2 linked regions of the Coturnix japonica genome follow. The protein of the gene in region 2 interacts with the protein of the main gene of each other region in a biochemical or structural test. Links are inferred from orthologs where the notes say so. Each region holds a gene or a part of one and is shown on either strand. Other genes may lie near its edges.

Region 1 (4,297 bases), on a different chromosome or scaffold from region 2:
TGGAGGGGTTGGATCTTACTATGCATGCCTGTAGTGTAACTGCTCTGCTCAACTCATTTTTCTTTAAATTAGGTTTTGAAGCAAGAGATGAGTTTAATACCACAGTTTTACATTTGAAAAAGAAAATAAAAGAGGCTTGTCTCTAAGGCATGTGGGCCATAGCAATATCCTATAGTCTGCTGTGATGTGGTAAATGATGAGAAACAACTTTCTCTCTTCTAGGTTTAAAGGACAACGAAGGACTTGCTTTGCTATTTACTGCTGAGCAAGGGAAAGCAAGGATAATGGGGTAACTCTGTAGCTGAAAAAGGCTAATATAAAGGTTTTAACCTGACTGCAGGCAGCAGCTGACATTCTTAATGGCATACGCAGCAGTGTCATACAAACTGATAGCACAACATTAGACTGATGAATATCTGTACCCTCCTGTGGGCTGCCAAGGGTTGCACCACTGCTTTAAACAACATAAGTGCAATTCAAAAAAAGCTATGGCAGAGCTACGTTACTCTCTTCCCTTCTTTTATATTCAAACCTTTTTTTTAATCTCTGGCAAATCTTTAAAGGAAGGCTGCCCCAAAAGTAATGCCTTCAGTTTTTCTATGTTGACCACTAGGTCAGAGATGTTGGTGGTAGAGCAAGTGTTGAACCTTCCTGGGCAGGCTATTCCAGTGCTTGATCACTCCATACTTAGTAATCTGAGTTCAGAGTTTGTTTTTCTGCCTAACTAGAACCATCTTTGTATCCTGTAATGTCTGTCACTCTTTGTTTTTTCCAGCAAATACGATTTCTACACAGGTTCTAAGCCAGCATCTCCTGCCAGATATCTGAAAGATATAGACAAAGTCGTACCACCTACCAGCGCACAGTAAGACAAGCCACCAAAGCGATGCACTTAGGAACAAAACTAGCAGCAGGACACTATAGCAAGGCTTGGAAGAAAAAGGAAAAACCTGAAGCTCAGCAACCACAACTCCCTGCAAACCCTGGCACCCCCATCATGCAGGAAAAGCCGAGCACATCACCTGCCGATCGCTACCTCAGCTCAGCGCAGCCCAACCGCTTCTCCTCAACTTCTCCACCCTCCACATCCCTCAGTCAGCTCCATTCTCCCCGCCCCAAGGCACGACGCGCCCTTTAATCCTCCCCTACCACAGGCGGCCGCTCTGCGACAGCCCAGCCGCTTCTCTAGAAACTTCTCGGCTCCTCCCTCTCCCCCTCCCCTTCCTCCTTCTCACTGCTCTGGGGCTCGCGCTGCGGTGAAGGTAGAGAAGGAGGAGGAGGCGTGTGCGGCGTTTGTTCTCTCGTTGTTCGGAGCCGGAGCTGCGGCGCGGTACCAGCCCAACGCGGCGGCCGGTGCCGACTCCACCAGGCAGCCCTTCCCTAGAGCAGCGGTGGCCGCGACAGACGGGATGACGGCAGAAGAGATGAAAGCGGATGGGGCTCCCTTGGAGGGGACGGACATCACCCCTAAGCGGGATGAGGGCGTTCTCAAGGTACTGAGCGGCTGCCGCTGTCTACTACTCGGGTATTAGCCTGTTGTGAGGCCCTGAGGGGCGGCCTACGAGCGGGCGCTTCCTTCGGCCTCCTTCCCCGGGCACCGACACGCCGCCGGCTGGCCCCTTCCCCTCGGGTAGGGCTGTGAGCGGGCCGCTCACCGAGCGTTATGCTCGTACAGCCCTCATGGTTACTTACACATCAGCCGCAACGCTGCAGGCGGCTGTGTCGGCCTGCGCAGGCGCTGCCCGTGTACGGGGCTCCCCGTGGGAGCTGGCAATGAGAAGGAGCCCACGCTTTCCGTGAGGAAATCCCAAGGGAGAAGTGGGGGGGAAGACGAGGCGTCCCTCCCTGTGTCCCGCGTGGGTTTGGGAGAGCCAGGCTGAGCTCTCTGCTCTCTAGTTTGGGGGGGGTTGAGCAGATCAGTCCCGCCCCCAGCACGTGGTCGGACGCTGGAATTAAAGATGGTGCCTTGGCAAAAGTGTGTGTATGGCTTTTATCTATGTAGATGGTGCTGAGCAGTGCAGCGCTGTGTAGGCTGAACTAGTTATTTCTCACAGCCTGAAAATGGGGGCACTCTGTCTTAATATAAGCATGGCTTGGAGCCTGAGGTGGCACGTTTTACACTTGGGCCTGGTATAGATGTGCTTGGTGACAAGCACACCCCCAATTGCCTGCGGGTCTCTGGTACCTTGGCTACTCGAACATTGTAAAAGGCATCTTGTATCTCTCTACCATATGCAGTACCCATTCTTTGATGATGGAGAGGCAGGTGATAATAAAAATACAAAGGAGGAGGGGGATACTGGTAAAATAACTGAGGTTGTATGAACATTATAAAAATAAATAATGTGTGATTATGAGCTGATAAGGCAAAACATTGTGGAGGTCTTGAAGTCCAGCTCACATGACTCCAGAGTTTTCTTTTGTAGTAGTAGTGGTTGCAGGAATGCAGGTTACATCTGTTGAAAAGGTCTAACTGAACTGACATAAACCAATTTTGTACTACTATCATAGCACTGATTCCAGAAGATGTTGTTTTCATTGTTCACTAGCTTCGTATCAGAATAGTATCCAGAGGATTTGACCTGGTGGCAGCAGAGCTGCCTTTGTTTTCCCTGCATTTGAAATCTTATCTTTAGACAGGCTAGTTGTGACATTTCTAGATAACTGAAGTATACCTGCAAATCTGTTGTTGACTGGAGAGGGTAAGTCACACGCCTTAAGCGAATAGAATTGAAGTCCAATAGGCAAATGTAGTTTTGATCATTTTAGAGTTGCTTACTGTTTTTTTTTCAGGTTGTCAAGAGAGAAGGCACTGGTACAGAGTCTCCGATGATCGGTGATAAAGTGACTGTCCATTATACAGGATGGCTTCTTGATGGCACAAAATTTGACTCCAGTCTGGACAGGAGAGACAAGTTTTCATTTGACCTGGGGAAAGGTAATAACTTATGTTTGCTTTTGGTCAATCTTAGTAATATTGAGATGGAGTTTTCTTGCACACTTTTTCACTCACTAAGATCACTATTTTAACTTGTTTTCAGAGCTAATCGTTAATTCATATAAACAGATTAACTCAGAAGTGCTTTGAGATCTTTCTGAGTGGGCATTCTGTGTATCTGGCTCAGAATTCACAGGACCTCAGATACAATGCTCACCTCAGTGGGAGTTTACTGTGAGATACAGCAATAAAGGCAGTTAAATAGCTGCAGCATATATTTTGTTGATAGTTTTTTGTATTGCTTTTGTATCTTGTTGCCTCAAATTCAAGAAGAGTTAAGTGTAGCTGGGTACTGGGGCAAGGATGTGAAAGTACTGGGACAGAGTGCACAGGGGCAGCTATCAGCTGCAACTGAAGGAAAGAGGAAATATGCTCCCTCTATCCCTAAGCTCCCAGATCTAACTGTTGAAGTAAGTCTGTAAGTAAGTCAGATTTGAGTATGAAAATCCAAACATCCTAGTTCCTGCAAAATTTACTACTCAATCTGTGGTTATCACTAGGAGTTCTTTACCTACTGGCTTTTTATTTGGGAGATAAACTCTACGAAGTCCTGAAATTTGGGATGATAGAATTTTACCAAATGGTACAGGGCAACTTGATTGAACTGAAAGGAACCACAAGTAGGAGCACTTGAGTTGAGAGGTTTTTGTTACTTTGGCTTTAGGAGGGATACTTGTTCTACTTTCCTTCCCCTTTCTGTTATAAACCCACGCAACTTTCAGTTACCACTTACGTTGGCCTTTGCCAACTGATAAAGTGCAGAGAGACTGGGCTATTGTGGGCTGTTTTCAAAATACAAGCAGACAGTCTCTTACCCTAAGACCTTATTTTTTGAAGAGCATTGCTACTTGCTCACACTTAAGATTTTGTCAGGTGCTTTAGGCATGATCTGTGTCTAGATTACCTATGTTCTGTATGGGTGAAGAAATGAGGGGAGAATAATAATCACTGTAGAATGAAAAAAAAAAACCAGCTAAATTTGGGTGCCCAAGTAACTTTGTAAGTTGATTACAAATAAAACTGATGTATATAACCCAGAATGAACATAAGTCAATATTTCATCTTAGCCTGTATATACTGACAGAGCTGATTGTCTTTCATGTATACCTAGCATTCATGATAAAAACTTGCTTTGTGCAGGTGAGGTGATAAAAGCATGGGACATTGCTGTAGCAACTATGAAGGTTGGTGAAATCTGTCGGATTACATGTAAACCAGAATATGCCTACGGCTTAGCTGGCAGCCCACCAAAGATACCTCCCAATGCTACGCTGATTTTTGAGGTAAGTGAGATGCAGC
Region 2 (3,817 bases):
GAAGTAGACACAACGATAACATTCTGAGAGGTAGTTAATTTTTTAATAAATATAGACAATTTTAGACAAAACGGAGCTAGACATTGTCCAATACAAAGTTCTTAGCGACCAGCTTTTGCAGTTAATGTAGCCACAGCAAAGCTACCTGTGCCTATGGCAGATCGCAGAATGATTGGAAGGTACACACAAGTTTCATCAAGTCCAACTCCTGGCTACACACAGGGCCACCCAGAATTCAAGTCTGACATCTGAGAGTGTTCTCCAGACACTTAGTGGACTCTGGCAGGATTTGGGTTGTGACATTGAGTATCTGATAATTCTGGTGAAGTCATGGGGAAATAAGATTTAATCTGTCGGAGATTCCCTTTCAGTTCTTTTTCATTTATCTACTTTGAAAACAATTTGCAAAGTAAGCCAAATTCACACTGAGGTTTTTCTTTTCTCTCTACTACTAAGGAATATCTAGCTAAAGTAGGTACTTATACAACATAGCAAATCTGATGGCACTAAACTTGATTTCTGTGTTTTCAACTTGTAGTGTACATGCTTATACATTCAGAACAGTACATTTACTATAGGAATGTATTTATTCATATTTATTAGTTTTAAGACAATTTTGGGTATTCTAATCTGTTTTCTTGTTGTTCAGGAGTTTCTGCATTGTGGTTTGTGATGTGTTTTTTCTCTCCTGTTTGTTTGGTTTATATCTGATAACTATGGGGTTAAAATGTACATATTGTCCATCTCTTGTAGCTGTGCAATCCAAAGGAACTGTTTTTGGGTTTACTTGAGCAGATTGAACAGACATCAGGAGAAAAGGTGTGCCAGACTATCATGTTACTGCTTCAACCTTTGCAGACAGGTAACAGTGACTCTCTCATGTGATTTCTGACAAAGACAGACATTATAAAATTAATTTAGCCTTTGGTGGAGTAATTTAAGAGAATTTGAAATAAGATGGGTAGCCTCAGAAGAAAAACCAACATTTTTCTTCATTCACAAAATTTGGTTATTTTTTACAGTTGTAAAACTCTCACATCCTTATTACAGAAATAGAATTACGTGGACTCATAGGTTTGGATAGTTTATTATTTAACTTTTAAAGCTTTAAAATTATAAAACTTCTGTTTGTAATTGAAACAAGTTGAAAAATATGAATTGAAAAACTGCATTATTCTGTTTTACATGCAAAAATTAAAAATACAGATTGAGATACTCGTTAAGTAGGTAAAAGTAGTAGTTTCTCTCTTGGTATGTGAAATTGAGTCACACCTTCTTCTTATCAAGTTTAAGTCCAGTTATAGCAGTCTCTGAGCTGCATTACTGAATCAAGTTAGAATTTAACAAGAGAAGCACTTTGCTAATGAGAAATGTGTATTTTGTTACATAACTGATCTGCAGCTAGTGTGCATTGAGATCAGTTTAAATGGAAAGTGGCTTGTGCTGCTTCCTCAGTGTGGGAAGACCCTGTGTTGTTTTTGCCACAGAGTATAGAACAGCTCTGAGCTGCTTAATGAAGAGTCAGATCTGAGCAGTAAGTCTTTTGTCAAACAAGAAATAGTATAGCAGGAAAGCCACAGTGAAGAGGTTTTTCAGGCCAGATAAATGGATGTTATTTTGTTTTAGTCTAGTTATAAAAAGACAGATTTTTCTGCCTTCGCGAGTTTGCAACAAAGAAAAGAGGAATGTGTGGAAATGCAAGACTGCTTTAATGCATCATTCTCAATTCTATGGTCATATTAAGTACTGTGAAATAGATTAGCTGATAAGTCTTGCTAGGCTTGTACATCTGAATTGAGATATTAGTCCTTCTGCTCCCCTGAAAGTGAAGACTTTCTTATACAGTCCTGTTCCTGTTCTTCACACATTCCTCCAGCAAACATTAACTTAATTTCTTAAAATGTTCTCTGTGTTTCAGTGCTTTTGAAACTTCAGAACAAGAAGGCCTACTCAGTGGGCTTATCTTTGGCCATGATTATGGATCAGCTTACTCCCTTGCCTGTACCATATACAAAGCAACAAATACAAGAAGATAAACTTGGTCTCTGTCAGTGCTGTAATGCAGTCGTGGACTTTGCTAAACCTTTTGTGAATGAAGTTGTTAAAAACATGGAAAAATCATCAGAATACAATGACACGGAGCTGAAAGAAGAATTACTGAAGTTGTGAGCATTTACTATTAGTTTAATATATTCCTGTAAGGAAACAAAATAAACAGTAGACACTTATTATGCATGCAGTAAATAAACAGTCTTATTAAAGTTTTTACAGTGCTGCCAACATATAAACTAATGCTGTATTTCAAAAAGAAAAAAACATCTTTTGCATATTTGTGAAGTGAAACAAGAATAGTAAAAATAATTTTTTAGTACAAGGAAATTAAGAAATATTAGTCTCTGTGATGTGGAGCTCATTTGGCAGTCCTGGTGCTTCAACTCAAAGGTGCAAAAGTGAGGATAATCTATTCTGGAGGTGAATTTTAAGAAGTGCTCCTATGGGAGACATTTTTGCTTCTGTTCTTGGAATATCTGGAACAGCAGCATCCAAAATGAGTATAGACCTTGTTGTTGGCCATTGCTGACATTGCTGTAGTTTCTGTGAGATTTTAAGTTTCACCTGTTGGGTTTTTTTTCAGCTGTATGAAAAGCCTGAAATACCCATTATTGACAGCTCAGCTTGAACAACTGGAAGGCATTGAAGAACATCCATTTCGTCATTTTGCAGCTGAAATTGTAGTAAGTGCATTTGGAATGAAGTGTTTGTCAAAGCAGTTGTGTGGTTCAGATCTGCAAATAGGAAGTTCATTTCATTTCTGTTACTACTTAGTGTGATGGCTGTCCAGGATAAGATAATGTGAGTATGTAAATGTTTGTAATAGGCTAAGGTTCCATCCTTGGAAATGATAAACCTTACAGATGCAGTTTTGCACCTTAATAAGCCAGTTTGGACTGTTCTCTGAATCAGCAGCTGCTACCTTGTTTTAGCTCCTTCTTTTTCCCTGGTTAAGTATGATTTCTTACAAACATCTGACTTACTGTCTTCACTGCTTAGTGAAGGTAAAATCTAAGTATTAATCCAAATTTTGCACTCAGAAATCTCTTACTTCTCTAAAGTGCAGTGCCAGCTGGCCACTCCATGTGACCAGTGCAGTTATTCTGGTTTTTGAACATTTTGCATAGCAACAATTAAGTTGCTTCAATGACTGTTGGTATACTTGTTTTAACATTGGCACTATGAAGGAATAGCATTAAATTTGAGCTTTGGAATTCATTCTCTTGTTAGCTGGCTAGAGGAGGGACATACAAACACCACACAGAAATGACGAAAGCTGAAGAAGGCCAGGGAAATTTTAGAATAGGTTGAGTGGGGACTGAGGCTGGCTGAAAAGGAAGAATTGGAGCCATCTGAGAGGTGGAAGGCGTGTGTGTGTGTGTGTGTTTGTATGCATGAATGTAGAGGAAGTCTGGAAGTTGCTACGTGATGCAACTCTGTTTCTTTTCCAACTTGTTTTTAAAAATGTAAGACTATATGTGCACAAAATTTTACATCCCAATGTTATGATTGTAAAGTCAAGCACACTATGTAACTAGCAAAACTTTTGGTTGTTTTCAACCATAATTAGTTTTTCTGTCATGATCACTTTGGGTTTTTTTTTCCACAGAATATCTCAGTCAGCATAGGATGGAACTGTTGCATGGATTAATTAGAGCTGTGCAATGAAAGAGAAGCTTGTCTGTGAGACCTTTGCTTCTTTTATTGCAGAACTTTTAAGATGCGCAGTGATGGAGGCAGAGATTACCAGAATATGATAGAAAGG

The links.
Region 1: the proteins of GLMN (region 2) and FKBP4 form a complex in vitro, tested with the Homo sapiens proteins (2 studies listed by BioGRID). The link is inferred for Coturnix japonica from reciprocal best matches to the Homo sapiens genes GLMN and FKBP4.

What each region holds. Positions count from the first base shown.
Region 1 is NC_029516.1:68,427,532-68,431,828, reverse strand, and holds the start of FKBP4 (peptidyl-prolyl cis-trans isomerase FKBP4), read left to right. Parts: upstream 1-1,210; 5' UTR 1,211-1,409; coding exon 1,410-1,493; intron 1,494-2,793; coding exon 2,794-2,938; intron 2,939-4,138; coding exon 4,139-4,281; intron 4,282-4,297. UniProt on the Homo sapiens protein: Immunophilin protein with PPIase and co-chaperone activities. Component of steroid receptors heterocomplexes through interaction with heat-shock protein 90 (HSP90).
Region 2 is NC_029523.1:12,315,759-12,319,575, forward strand, and holds part of GLMN (glomulin), read left to right. Parts: intron 1-753; coding exon 754-862; intron 863-1,918; coding exon 1,919-2,165; intron 2,166-2,635; coding exon 2,636-2,735; intron 2,736-3,817.